Linked DNA regions of Mus musculus. The main gene of each other region encodes a partner of the protein of the gene in region 2 in a complex. Links are inferred from orthologs where the notes say so. Each region holds a gene or a part of one and is shown on either strand. Other genes may lie near its edges.

What was found. The genes of interacting proteins can lie anywhere in the genome.
Region 1: Lamtor5 (region 2) and Lamtor3 share a complex: the UniProt entries of both Homo sapiens proteins name them as parts of the ragulator complex. The link is inferred for Mus musculus from reciprocal best matches to the Homo sapiens genes LAMTOR5 and LAMTOR3.

The regions. Positions count from the first base shown.
Region 1 is NC_000069.6:137,923,389-137,930,979, forward strand, and holds the end of Lamtor3 (ragulator complex protein LAMTOR3), read left to right. Parts: intron 1-1,723; coding exon 1,724-1,782; intron 1,783-3,420; coding exon 3,421-3,554; intron 3,555-3,958; coding exon 3,959-4,022; intron 4,023-4,558; coding exon 4,559-4,632; 3' UTR 4,633-5,374; downstream 5,375-7,591. UniProt on the Homo sapiens protein: As part of the Ragulator complex it is involved in amino acid sensing and activation of mTORC1, a signaling complex promoting cell growth in response to growth factors, energy levels, and amino acids.
Region 2 is NC_000069.6:107,280,278-107,287,093, forward strand, and holds the end of Lamtor5 (ragulator complex protein LAMTOR5), read left to right. Parts: intron 1-1,631; coding exon 1,632-1,749; intron 1,750-3,357; coding exon 3,358-3,418; 3' UTR 3,419-3,805; downstream 3,806-6,816. UniProt on the Homo sapiens protein: As part of the Ragulator complex it is involved in amino acid sensing and activation of mTORC1, a signaling complex promoting cell growth in response to growth factors, energy levels, and amino acids.

The DNA.
Region 1 (7,591 bases), about 31 Mb from region 2:
TACCGCCTTTGGTATATTAGCGACTATTTAAATTAATTACCGTGGAAATTAGAACTTACCTGTGCTATACAGATTTTTCTAACGTTTTTTATAATGTATTGAGCACCTGTCTTTTAATTTGTTTTTTTTTTTTTGTTTGTTTGTTTGTTTTTTCTGAGTAGACAATATACTTATAAACTTCAAGGTTGCAGAGCTCCCTGCGCCTGGGCTGCAGTCATGAGCTCCGCTGGGAGAAGCATCTGCTGTCAGAAGTCTTTATGTCCTGGCAACCAGGCACAGATAGGAGTATACTGTGTGCGCGTGACAGGCATCACATATGCGCACACAAAGCTTGCTTACAGTTTATAACATAGTTTGTTGCTTAAGGTACATTTTTCAAAACTGAAGTTTCTTTTTCACTTACTATGACTTTAAGAGGATAGAGAGATGGCTCGGTAGTTACGGGCACTTGCTGCTCTGTGAAAAACACAGATGGGTTCACGTCCTAGCACCCGTGCTGGGTAATCCACAGCCACCTCTGAGTCCAGTTTCCAGGAATTTGATGCTCTCTGCTGGCCTTGGAAGGTACCATCGTGCATGTCCATACACAAATAGGCACACAGATGGGGTTGGTTGGCTTGTTTGTTTTAAATTCATGAGCATATACATATTGGTGGGTAGAGACTTAAGGTGCAAGTGTAAGGACCGGAGTTTGGGTCCTCGGAACTCACATGAAGTCAGTGAGGTGTGGGGACAAGGGAATCCCTGGAAGCTCATGGCCAGCCTGTCGGAGAGACCCGAGGATGTCCTCTTACTTCCACGTGCAAACTGGGTCGTGGTCTCTGTCTCTGTGTGTGTGTCTGTCTGTCTCTCTGCGTCTGTCTCTCTGTGTGTGTCTGTCTGTCTGCATCTGTCTCTCTGTGTGTGTCTGTGTCTCCCTCCCCTCCTCTCTCTCTCACACACACATACACAGATACACATGCTTACACACATACTCTCTTTCACACACACACTTTGAAATCAGATCTGCTCAGTGCCTAAAAAACAGCCCCTCCTTTTCAGTTACTTGATGCCCTAATATTTAGCCAAGCCGCCACTTCCCCAGAGAAGTGTTCTCCCTACAGATCTTCTAATGGCACCTCCCATAGTAGTAATTTTACCTTAGTGTAAGATTATTTGCTTGATAATAACTCAACTACTACTCAACTTCAATTCTAAGATTGTAGAGTCAGTATCACATGATCAGGAAATACTAAGTGCCTTAAAATCTGAAAACCCAGTATCAGAAATCAGAAAGAGTGAGGGAAACAGACAAAGGTTCTTTAGTTTTTACCGTTGTCAGAGCTGAACCCTTTTCTGCTTCTATAAACCATGGAATGATAGAACATAAGCTTTACTCTTCAATAATTAACATACGTGTGGTAAATATCCTCAGCATCTCAGTGGTACACGTTAGGGAATTTCTAGACAAGTTTTTCTCAACACGCCTGGGAACATATTCTAACACACACACACACACACACACACGCATATGTTTTTCAGGAACATGCATGAAACAGTAGGGGACTTTGCTTCTTGGTGGTAGAGCTCTTGCTAGAGTGTGCAGCTCCCTGCGTTCCGTCTGCGGTGCTGGAGGAGGGGAAAAAGAAATGTCTATATGCGTGAGAAGTACCACCATGAGTCTGAGATACATATTTGTAGAAATCAAAGTAACTTTGTAATACTGAACTTTGTTTTCTTGTAGTGTTGAAGGGCTCCATGCAATTGTTGTGTCAGATAGAGACGGGGTGCCGGTTATTAAAGGTAAAGCTAACTGCATGCATATGGCACATTTACTTTTGACAAAAAATGTTTTATATTTAAATAATTAAAAATATAGACAGCTTATTTCAACAAACTAGAAAGACTGTTTTAGTTGTTCGAGGAAGTATATACGTTGTGTGTTGAGGACTTGGTGTAGAGCCTACAGTGAACTGCATGTCATCTGGACCATGTAACATCTAGCATCTGTGTGCATTTACCATAGTCCTGGTTATCCACTGAGGATGCTTATGGCATAATACAAATCATTAAACAAGTCTTTACTGTTGAAAGTGTGAGCAAGGCAGGCAGGCAGCCAACCCCTAAGCCACGGCACTAGCTCACACTGGTGGGTTTTTTGTTTTGTTTTGTTTTTTAAGATTTATTTATTTATATGCATTCATATATGTATTCATATACATATGAATATGAATGCACTGTTGCTGTCTTCCGACACACCAGAAGAGGGCATCCAATCCCATTACAGATGGTTGTGAGCCACCATGTGATTGCTGGGAATTGAACTCAGGACCTCTAGAAGAGCAGTCAGTGCTCTTACCTGCTGAGCCATCTCTCCAGCCCCACTGGTGGGTTTTAATCTTGTGGGGTTTTGCTTCTTTACTAGAAACATATTTTTTAAAACTTTAATGTCATTAGTTTAGTTGATCAGAATCTAAGAAGTTTCTAAAAATACATCTCTGTAAAGTCTTGAGACCTCTATGCATGCATACAATGTGTTTTGATCATATTCGGTTCCACCCCAAATCCACCAAACATGGTTTTGGCAGTCCTCAACTTTCTTTGGTGCACATTTGCTGTAACAGAGGTAGTGTGAGCTCAGCTTGTCTGCTGTTCGTATCTCCTGGCATCATCAAAGTGGACTTTGCTGGTTTCACTTACCAAAGATTAAAGATGAAATAGTGTCTTATGCATTTTATTTACAATTTCTTTTCCATATCAGGTAAATTTAGACATTAGGATTAAAACGTGCTTTGAGGTCACGTGGGTTATTTCTTCCAGTTTATCCATTAGCATGGTCAAGTGCAGAGAGGACACTGCCTGGGCAGAGCTGGGCATTGAGTTGGTGACAAGACATGATAAGAGTCCATTGACTGTGTGCCACCCACCACACAGCCACACCGTGTGGGCAGCTATGGCCAGCCACCTTCCTCTTCTCACCCCTAGAAAGAGGGCTCAGGTGATTCTCCAGCCCTCATGTTCTTTCCCAGAATGTCTGTGAACCACTGAACCTCCATACTTAGCTGATGCAGCTGCTACACTAGTCTAGCCTTAACGAGCGAGAGGAGCGTGAAGCTGGCAGCCAGCCATTGGGCTGTGGGTTTGTATGAGAGCAAAAGGCATTTTCCATCTGATTCTGTCTACACCAGAGCACTGTAGTATAGTACAGTGATGACTATAGTCTGAGATGGCCAGGATATTCATTCTGTTACATGTAAGGCAGCGTGTCGTCCCTGAGGGATTTATAGTCACAGACCTTCCGAGACCCAGCTAGCAGTAGGGTTTTCAACATGGCAAGTGTCCTGTTGTGCCTAGGCTTTTACTGGTTTGTGTTTTTTAAAACTTGCTGTTGAACTCTTCCCTCCATACTCTACATGACGTTTATGTAATCACTGATCGCAGTGGCTAACGACAGTGCCCCAGAGCACGCCCTGAGACCTGGCTTCCTATCCACGTTTGCCCTCGCAACAGACCAAGGCAGCAAACTCGGACTTTCAAAAAACAAAAGCATCATCTGCTACTATAACACCTACCAGGTCTGTATATTCCGTTTACAGCGACTGATGCACTTCTGATTTCACTACCATTTTTACATCTTTTGTATAAATTAGTTTTAGTATAAGTCTAGATTTTAGTGTCAGGGGGATAGAATTTTTAATAGTTAGCTCGAACTAATCTTTATTTTTAAGAAAGGGAATAATTATTATGGAAAAGTACTTAAAACTTTAAAAATAAAGAGCTTGTTATGCTATAAAGTATGTGTTAGATCATTGTTAACTCCAGTAGATGGTGCCGTTAGCTTACATAGCTGCGATTCTTCAACACAATTCCTCTGTTGTGACAGGTTAAAAAACAAACAAACAAAAAGCTTACCTTGAAAGTTGAATGATGAGCTGTTTGAATTTGTAGACTTGCAACATTACTACTTCTTTCCTTTTAGGTGGTTCAGTTCAATCGTTTGCCTCTGGTGGTGAGTTTCATAGCCAGCAGCAGTGCCAACACAGGTATGTTAGCAGGGCCACAGATGCCGCCTGGAATTCTTTATAGCGTTCTGCAGCGTGAGAGATTAGGACGGACAGAGCCTCAGCCCCATCTCTGTTTTCTCTTGAATTCTATTCCCAGTTCACATGCCTGCCTCCCTCCCCGGCCTCGTCCACCTCGACGGTGGCTTCCAGATGCTCTTGAGATGAGGCAAGACATTGGGGTTTGCGTAGAAACGTCAGCTCAGTGTTGCATTGCGTGTGCTGTTTGTGACTCCCATTGTAACAGCCTATGAAAAAAGGAAGGGCTACAGGACATAAACTGAACAGAATACATACAGGGCGCTGTATAAGTGTCATAATTCTCTACACCAACCAATTAAATTACAACGCTGAGACAAGTTGAATGTCATTGACAATTTAGAGATAATTTCATAGTTTCTTTTCTGTCGCTGTGGCGAACTACTCTGGCAAAAGCCACATGAGGAGAAAGGGTTCATTTCAGCCCAGAGTTCATATGAAAAATCTTCTAACATTCTAATTTTTTAACTCTTTTTTAGGACTAATTGTCAGCCTAGAAAAGGAGCTAGCTCCGTTATTTGAAGAACTGATAAAAGTTGTGGAAGTGTCTTAATCCAGCAGTGGTTCTGATGCACACCTGGGCCTCACTGCAGCAACCCTGGACCAGGCCAGCAACCTTCCGACCACAATAGTACTTGTAGCTATGTATTCAGAAGGCCGCTTTTCCACATTACACTAAAGAAGAGCCTATTGCTATAATTTATAGACAGATCAATTGTTATATTTATGTGTATAAAATCTTTTCTTACTTAGTGAGGTCTGAGAACACCACAGAAATGGTCATTCGATTGCAGCTCCCATGGAGTTAGTGCAGGCACCTGAAAGTGAGTGGTATCTGTCCAGAGCAGAGGGTCAGACCGGGACCGTGAGGCCCTTGAGCCAGCAGGCACACCTGCTGAACTCTGCTCCACTCCATAAGCCGCAGACCCTTTTACTGAGAATAATAATGAGGTCATATTTTTCTTCAGATTATATTTTATTTCTTTGCATTGTGAGGAAGATGAAATGGCTTAGTAAAAATAATTAAGTACAATCACTAACGCCCCTCTCTCTGTGTTCTCGGTGAGGATGAGTTACTAATGGATTTGATTCTTCAGGGTGCTGCTGTTCACTGAGAGCACAATCACTGCTTATGATGTCTCTCCGCTTTGCTGTAACCGTGCTTCCACCATTGTGTTCTTTGTACAATTGAAATGCATGTTACTGAGTTCTGTTTCCTTATCAGGATGTATATAAAATGACAGGATGGCCATTTTTTATACATGTGTATAAATAAAATAGTATTTTTAAAGGTACCGAATGAGCTCTGTATAGGCCTCTTTTTTGGACTTTGAAAAGTTTAATGGGCATAATTCTAACCTTCAGTCACATGAATAAGCCATGAATAGTTCATATAGGGATTGTATTGGAGACTGTGCCTAGTATAAACTGTCAAAAAGGAAGAAAAAAAAGAAAAGAAACCCTCCCTTGTGAGCCTGGCTGAATCTCCAGGAAAGAAGCGATCTCTGCTTATATGACTGAGAGGCTCAGGAGTAGATCAGCCATTCAAGCCCTGGCTGTCCCGGCACTTTGTCTCTGGAATGGTTCAGTCCCCATCCCTCCTGATGCATAGCTGTAGACACCATTGCCTGGGAATGTCTGCTCCGGACAGAGTGCTGGTGCTGTCCTTAGGTTCCGCACGAGCTGGTTGCCCGAGCACCCGCTGCTTTTCCTTCCCCTCATTTTCCAGTACAATCTGGGATGAGTGGTGAGTAGAGAAAGTGAGTGTGTGGTGCCCTGAGTTAGACACAGAAGGCCTCGGAGCCACAAACTGGGGCCACCTAAAGCAGGAGAAATCAAGCCGAGAGAATGTGTTATTGTCTTTAGGGAGCTATAAACTGTTAATGAACGATGAGATGCACCCACTAAGATAACAGAATTCTCATTGTCTGAGTTACCACATAACAATGTCTAGGAAATTGTTACTAGTGATGTGGCACATGAGACAGGAAGGTGACTCTACGTAACATAAAGCTAGAAAACTTAAGATTACACCTACTTAGTGTTGTGTGCGCATACACACGTGTACACATGTTGGGGTCAAAGGACAACTCAGGAGTCAGTTCTCTCCTGCGAAGTAGGTCTGGGGATTGGCCACACACACACAATAACAGTAAGTACAAATTTTAAAATACTTTAACAAACGGAATGAGATTCTTGAGGAGAAAGCTGTATGAGTTCTCGAGCAGATCAGCAGGGGTTATAAGTATGTGCCAAGGGACCAGCCTCGGCTTGGAGAAGGGGTCTGAGTTAAGGGGTGTCCGGGAGCAACGAAAACAACACTAAGTCAAATCGAGGGTCTGAGCTTTCCAGCTTTTTCCTCTCCTCTACATCTTCCTCTCTGATCTGCTTTCCTTGGAGATCTGCAGTTCTGCTTGAGAAAGTTCTCCAAGCAGTTCACTCTTGCTATTCTAAATTCCCTGGACAGCTCTTCTCCTGCAGATCATAAGCCCAGTCTTTTATTTTACATATTAATCCGGTCATTTACATCAGGTTTTCCTTTTGATTATCCTATGAGTCAGCATCCTGTGACCAGAGCCCCTTAGTTCTTAAAAAAACAGCAAGCACACATTTTCTAAAATTTTAACATTGCAACAGAATTTAGAGATATGCCTGCGTCTGTTAAGTAGACACTAAGCTAGCTGGGTGAGACCCTGTCCTGAAATTACCATTTCTAGCACACCTGGGCTTGGACTTGCTGCGTCCTAGGCTGACCTTGAACTCAGGAATCTGCCTGCCTTTGTATCTGACAAGCTGGCTCATAGTGTAGCTAGCTACCTCTGTTCCTTGAGATTTGTGAAGCCTCTCATATAATTCATATTGCATCCCTATTTTTTGCATCGTTGAGAAATTATATATTTTCAATCTCATGTTTTTAGAGTCCTTTTCCACAGCATTAAAGGCTGTCCTGAAGGTCCCAGCATTTAGTTTTGCTGAGACATTAGCCACAACTTCGTCTCCTGGACTCATACTGTCTCTGATTATCATGGGGTCGTTAACGTTAATAGGAAGGACATTGCTTAAAGGAGGAATGTAAAAAATGTACATTATTATACAAACAAGCCTTATGCCTATGGCAGCCATCCGAACTCTTGGAGCCTTTGTGCTGGCCCTGTCCCAGGGGCAGGAACCGAGTCATTCTGTCCCCATCAAGGTCTCGTCAGATGGCATGTATGCGTATTCGATATAGGGGAATGGTGTGAGATATTGGCACATGCAACTGTGGAGTAGCCCAGAGACAGAGACCATCTCCACTCAGTGCATTTTCCCTTGCGCCAAAGACCTTTTGGCTGATGGGTGAGTCCTGCCCATACTCGATTAACTAGACATTTCAGCTTGTTCTCCAGTTTCTTCCGTTCAGGTAGCGAAGTGAAGTCAAGCCTAGCAGTACAAGCAAGGTTTTGAGTAAATCACTAATATATCAATATCTAGTAACCAACCAGTCTTTTTAACCTTATTCTACTTCAAAAGCA
Region 2 (6,816 bases):
CCACTCTCAACAGTAAGTTATTGTCAGTAAAAATAGGGATTTCCTAGTTAGACACGTCTGACTTCAACCCCATTCTCCGATGCTGTCTGCTAGCAACATGAGTGCCGAACAGAAGGAGCCTCTTGGGGCTTCAGTTTCTTCATTGGGTTATTTTATTTCATACATACATTATGTGTGTGTTGTCTTAAGACATTTTTTTTTAAAAACTTATTCTACGTGGCCCTGGCTGTCCTGGAACAAACTTTGTAGACCATGCTGGCCTGTAACTCACAGAGATCTGCCTGCCTCTATCCCTTGAATGCTGGGAACAAAGGTGTGCATCACCATGCCCAGCCAGGCACTATTCTTAGTGTTTTCATTATAAAACGTACATAACCCCCCTTCCTGCCCCCCCCCCCCCACCAAAGCCCTTTATGGTCAAGAAATTTAGCAAGCTTAAAAGTACCTTGCCCAGGGTCAAACACCTAATGAATGGTTGAGATAGGATGTTTTTAAAGCTGGCTCCAAAGCTTAAAACACCCAGTACAGAACCAAGATGTGTTTGTGTGGTGTTCAATAAATTGTAGCAATTACAGATAAGGAACTAAGTCCAGAAAGGTAAATAGCTAAAGTTAATTAATGTCAGAAACTAGTAAACCCAAGAATCCTTATAACTGATGCAGGTTTTTTAGAGCTCTGATCTTTTGCTGGTATGATACCTGACAAAAGTAATATAGTTATGTCTTATACAAAAAGCAGCCATTTGGAACAAAGGTAAATTTTTTTGAAGCATTTGCCAAGTTACTAATGAAAACTCTTTAAATGCAAATGTGGAGGAAAAAAAAAAACTAAGTAAAACCTTCAAGGTGCGAAGTTGCTATTTCCAATAGATTTCCGGGCTGCACTTTGGCCTACGGATTTTTTATGTAGTAATAGTCAATCCAGAATTTCTGCCAGGTTATATTGTCTACTACCTTAGTTTTAGGTGTAAGTAAACCCCTTTATTTCAGGGATCTATAATAAGCTTGGTGGTTACCTTTTGTGCCTAGAGCCTGATTTAGTTAATACAAGTCAAAGTAATAGTAAAGACTCGGGGGACATTTGAAAGGAGCCCAGCTAGCTTCTGCTAGCAGAAATAGTTGCTCACAGGTCTTCACATATGCTGGCAAGGTGATCTTACAACTGGACTTCTGAGTAATGGCTGCTTCTTTGAGATTGAGCATAGGAAGAGAAACTCAGATTTCCCATAAGGAATTAATTAGCATCAACAAGCCCCTTATCCATACTGAATGCTTTTTGTCACTCTCGCCTTTGAATTTCTTGGTTTCAGCAAGGTTCCTATAAAATAGTTACTACCATCAGATGACTTGAATTACAGCTTCCTTATATGCTTGAGAAGGTGTTTAGAGATAGTGAGGGGAATAACTCTGAAAACTACATGTCGTTTACGACTTTGCTGATTTAAGAACAATTGCCAGGCTTTCTCACTAATGGACTCAGCTGAGTACCAGGTGAGAGAGATCCTTTCTTGTCAGTACTTAACCTAAAGGCAAAAAGGCCGTGAGCGGAGTTTCTTTTTCACAAATAATTCTGGAGGAGATACTAAACTATAGGTTTATATTAATTTTTAGACACTTCTCACTATTCTCTAGGCCGTGGTACCCTGTCGGATGAGCACGCTGGAGTCATATCTGTTCTAGCCCAGCAGGCAGCTAGGCTAACCTCTGACCCCACCGACATCCCTGTGGTATGTTTAGAATCAGATAATGGGTGAGTACATACCAGCACACCCCTTTCTTTTTGTTCTGAAAAACTTGATTGGGCTTTCCCCTGCATTCAGTGGTAGTTCATTAGTCAATGCACCACAGAGCCATTGGACATCCAGGCCTCATGAGAACAGAACTTCATTAAAATAAGAACTATCAGTTTGCCACTCCAATAAAGGAAAAACAGTAAAAACACAAAAAATGATTAGCTGCATAGAATTCCCTAAAGTAAGGTCTTAAAGATATTCCTAGATAAAGATCTTTATTCAGATGCTAAGTGATAAAAGGAAGAAAACAAAACTGTGGGGCTGGAGAAATGCCAGTGCTTAAGAGCCACAGTCCCGAGGATGAGAGCTTATATACTAGTACCCCAGCACCCACACAACAAACACCTGCAACCTCAGCCCTCAGTCAGGGGCGAGGGGGTGGGCAGAGATGGGAGGATTGTTGGAGCTGGCTGTCCTCCAGTGTAGCAGAGAAAATGAGGCTCAGGCTCAGGGATAAGACCACACATCAAAGGATAGTTGCACAGTAATAGAGGACACCCAGCACCTTCTTCTGACCTCCGTGCCTATACATAGGTGTGTGTACATGCACACACCTGTATGTGCACACCTGCACAGAGATAGAGTATGTGAACCTTTAAAAATGCATACTTTGGTCAGTTTGGGGCAAGGGAAAAAGAAGATATTAATATCGATATATGTATAAATATATACAAATTAAAATTAGAACCAGGAGCCAGCAAGATGGCTAAGCAAATAGACGTGCTTGCTGCCAAGTCTGATGACTGGAACTCCATACCTGGAACCCACATGACTGAGGAGACAAACACCCTGACGTTGTCATGCAAGCAGTGGCACACATACAGACCCCCAAAATAAGTAACATAAATAAGAATTAAGAGCTGGGGAGGCGGCTCAGTGGTTGAAAGCACATGGCACTCTCCCAGAGGACCTGTGTCAGTTCCCAGCACCCACATTTGGAAGTTCACAACCACTTATAACTCCAACTCCAGAGGAACCAACACCACTCGCTGGCCTTCTCAGGCACCAGTGTGTATAATGACACACACGGACAGACACATACATATATTTTTTAAAAATCTAATCTAAAAATTAGGACCAGGAAGGAGGCTAGGCTAGTGATAGCATGTGCAAGGCTCTAGATTCTAACTCCAACAATACCACCAAAACCTCCAGGAAAAAATAAAAATCAGAATCATGTTGAGTAGTAGGGTTAAGGATTACTTTTTAAAAATTTTTTTTAATTAAAAGGATTAATTTCTTTATGTTATAATTAGATTTGCCCACAATCCTCAACTGTTCATGCCCATCTGTGCTATTTATTTATTCATGTTTCTTAGCGGAAGACTTGGCTCTTGGTTTGAGAATGTAGTCCCCTTTCTGGGTGGGAAGTATGGAGAGGCTATGGCACTAGGGGTTGGTGACGGACACCTGTCAACAGGGACTGTTCATATTTGGTTTTGTATGAGAATATAGATAAATATGCTGTCATCTAAACATAAATATATTTAAACTAAATAAATTTAATCTTACACTGAGACACATGCATTAAGAGTTTGCTGAATATTTTCTTTTTGGCTTTTCAGGAACATTATGATCCAGAAACACGATGGCATCACAGTGGCTGTGCACAAAATGGCCTCTTGACATCTGATGTCAGCTCTCCAGTGGCCTCTCACCGGGATTCAGTCATGCCTGTCTCAGCTCATTTGTAAAACTATTAAAGTTCCAGAAATAGGCCATTCAGTTAATGTCCAATGTGGACTCCCTTATTTATATGACAGCCAGTTACCAAGACATCAGTTAGAGAGGAGCAATTGTTTGGGCTTTTGTCACTCTGCTCTTTGGTGACAGTCACTGTAGTCCAGGATCACAGCCCATCATGGCCTAGAACTATGTAGCCCAGGCTGACTTCAAATGTATGGTCTTCCTGCTTTAAACACATACATCCTGGAATTAAAGCATTTGTCACTAAGGTTTAGGTCACTTTGTATATAGAACTTCATTATGGCCAATAAACCTGTTCTGAGGAAAGTTTGGTTCATTTCTGGTCTTTTAAAATTCCTACTTAATGCTCACTTTTCTTTTTTCAGTTATCAAATTGTGGGTTTTTTGGTTTTTTTTTTTTTTTTTTTTTCTCTAAAAGATCTCTATCCCAAACTACTTGTTTCTCTTTCGGTGTCTTAAAATGTCTGTGTTCTTATGCAAGGGAAGATGGATCAAATATTTCCCTCAACCTAAGTGACAAAGGACATATCATTGAGTCCTTAGTAAGACCAGAAACTTATTTCTCATTATAAAATAGGATAGGTACTCCTGGTTGTTGTGTGTAACCAAAGCCTAGGGGCTAGCATGGTCACCATCAGAACTTAAGAACTTAACTGACAGAAGGCGTGTGTGCTTTGCTTTGTTTGGTTGGTTGGTTGATTTTTCTGAGACAGGGTTTCTCTGTGTAGCCCTGGCTGTCCTGGAATTTGGTAGACCACGTTAGCCTCAAACTCAGAGATCTGCCTATCTCTGCCTCCCAAGTGCTAGGAATAAAGATGTGCGCCACCACTACCCGACATGGACAGACTACATTTTTACCATCATCCAGACCATCGAAGAAATAGGCATGTTGGATAAAAAAAATTTTTATCATTTGAGATTAATAGTGGTCTTCAGCCTTCAGTGATTCTCAAGAGATACTGCACAGCAGATGACAAGGACTGTGTGCATGCTGTGTGTGAATTCACAGTGTGTGTGTTGAGATCAGAAGACAGCTTGTGGGAGTTTATTTTCTCCTACCAGGGGTTCTGGGGACCCAGCTCAGGTTGTTAAGCTTATACAGCAAGCACTTTTACCCACTGAGCCATCTTGCCAGTCCCATTTTGTCTATTTATTTATTCTACTGCTCTTTGGCATTTTAATATTTCCCTATTTTTAAAAAAAGTCTTAGAGAAAGGTGCTATTTACAGAAAAAGGATTTCGAGTAAGACACTTGAAGGCCTTAAGCTGGTACCTAAGAATGGTGTTATATAATGTCCTACTTTAGGCATAATATATATACCACTGTCAAACCTGTTCCGAAAGCATGACTTTGTCTTACATTCCAAGCATATAGTTCCTCATTCACAGAAGGCATTAACTAAGCACTTACTGAATACACAAGGATAAGGGGTTTGTGGTATAAACTGGGCCTCCAAGAATAGAATGGACGCAGTGAGTAAAGGTTTCTAGCAAGAGGAAAGCAAAGACAGGGAAAACCAGAAAGAGTATGTGCATAACAGCAAACGCTTTGGTCTGTGAGGCAGGAGGTGAAATAGCTGGAAATGTGAATCCTAGACCTAGCTGGGTAGTGGTGGTGCACTTACTCAGCCATCAGCTGAGAACAGCCCAATAGTGGTGGCAGGGGGCAGGCCAGTTCTCCAGCCCCCAAGCCACCGTGCCTGGCTTTTACAATTCAAACTTTAGTGAGGTTTTTGTATGCTAGAGATATACTGAGCAATTTATATGGTTTGGTTCACTTAACCATCTGTATATTAAACTGGGATCAGTTTAGAAAAGAATGGGTTCTATAAAATACAAAAAGCAACAGCAAACAGGAGAATAGGAACAAAAATTGCATTTTCTAGTCTGTCATAGAACAGAAAGAGGGTGACTGATTTCGATTTCAGATAAATTGAACTTGACAGGGCATCCTGTTGGTGATCATGCTCAGTAACATGGTGTAGGTGCTCACTGTGCGCCAGGCTTAGTTTCAAACTTTCAGGTACCTCCCCTTGCATTGTGAACAAAATTTAAAGTTCCTTCCGTGACCTGAGAGATCCAGCTCTGGCCCCCTGCTTGTGCCACATGCCATGCTATATCTGCTTATCTCAGAACCTCTCTCTTTAGCAGTGAAGCATTTTCTCATCTACTCACAGTAGCCATTTGAAGTAGGAAAAAATATATCCAATTTATTCATAGAACAAGACTTGTGCTGGGAAGACTGAAAGGCTAGATGTCTTGTGGTCTTTCTATTACTGTGACAAAACACCTATGGCCAGGGGAACTTAGAAAAGGAAGCCTTTAATTGGATTTACAGTTTCAGAGGGTTAGAGTTCATGATGGTGTAGCAAAAGCATGCTGGTCAGGAACAGCTCAGAGATCGTATCTTGATCCAAAAGCAGGAAGCAGAGAAAGGCACACTGGGAATGCCATGAGTCTTTGGAAACCTTAAAGCCTACACCCAGTGCACATCCCTTCAAGCACTGCTACATCTCCTGATCCTTTGCAAACAGCTCGGCCAACTGGGGGCCAAGGAGTCAAGCTTCTGAGTCTGGCAGGACATTCTCTGTCAAACCACACACTGGAGATAGGTAATTTTCTAGTCTGCACAGAACTAAAGCTGAAGTATGGTTGCATGGGGTTTCCCAAACCCCTGCCCTGATTTGATGTATTAACTTGACTGGACTATGAGATGCCAAGATACTTGAGTTGGGCCATTTCAGAATGTGTCTGGCCAAGGCCATTTGAATCAGTATCTTTATGAGCTTCCTGTAACCCACTGAGCCCCTGAGTAAACTAAAAACTCTGTTCATTCACCCCATTTGTTTGATTCTTTGCCCTGGGGTTCTGGCCCTCCATTCTTAGATTGACTGAAACTTACACCTCAGTTTTGGTGACCTCATTTGAATGGAACCCTACCATTGGCTCCCAGTCTGCAGTTTGTTTATTGCAGATGTTGGTCTTCTTAGCTTCTATAATTATACAAATCAGTTATAGTAAACCTTACTGTCGCCACGTCTACTGCCAATTGTTTCTGGCTCTGGGGAACATTTTTTCTTGAGGAAGCCAGGCAAATTCCTCAACGTACTGGATAGTTTTATGTCAACTTGACACAAGCTGAGGCCATCTGAAAGGAGGGAACCCCAACTAAGAAAATGCCTCCACTTGGGAGAGACTGCCTCCTGTGGCCAGGCAGGAACCCAGTGGATCCACGGGGACACCAACCCACCCACAAATCTTTCTAGCCAAAAATTATCCTGTCTACAAGAAGTGCAGGGATCAGGGATGGAGCAGAG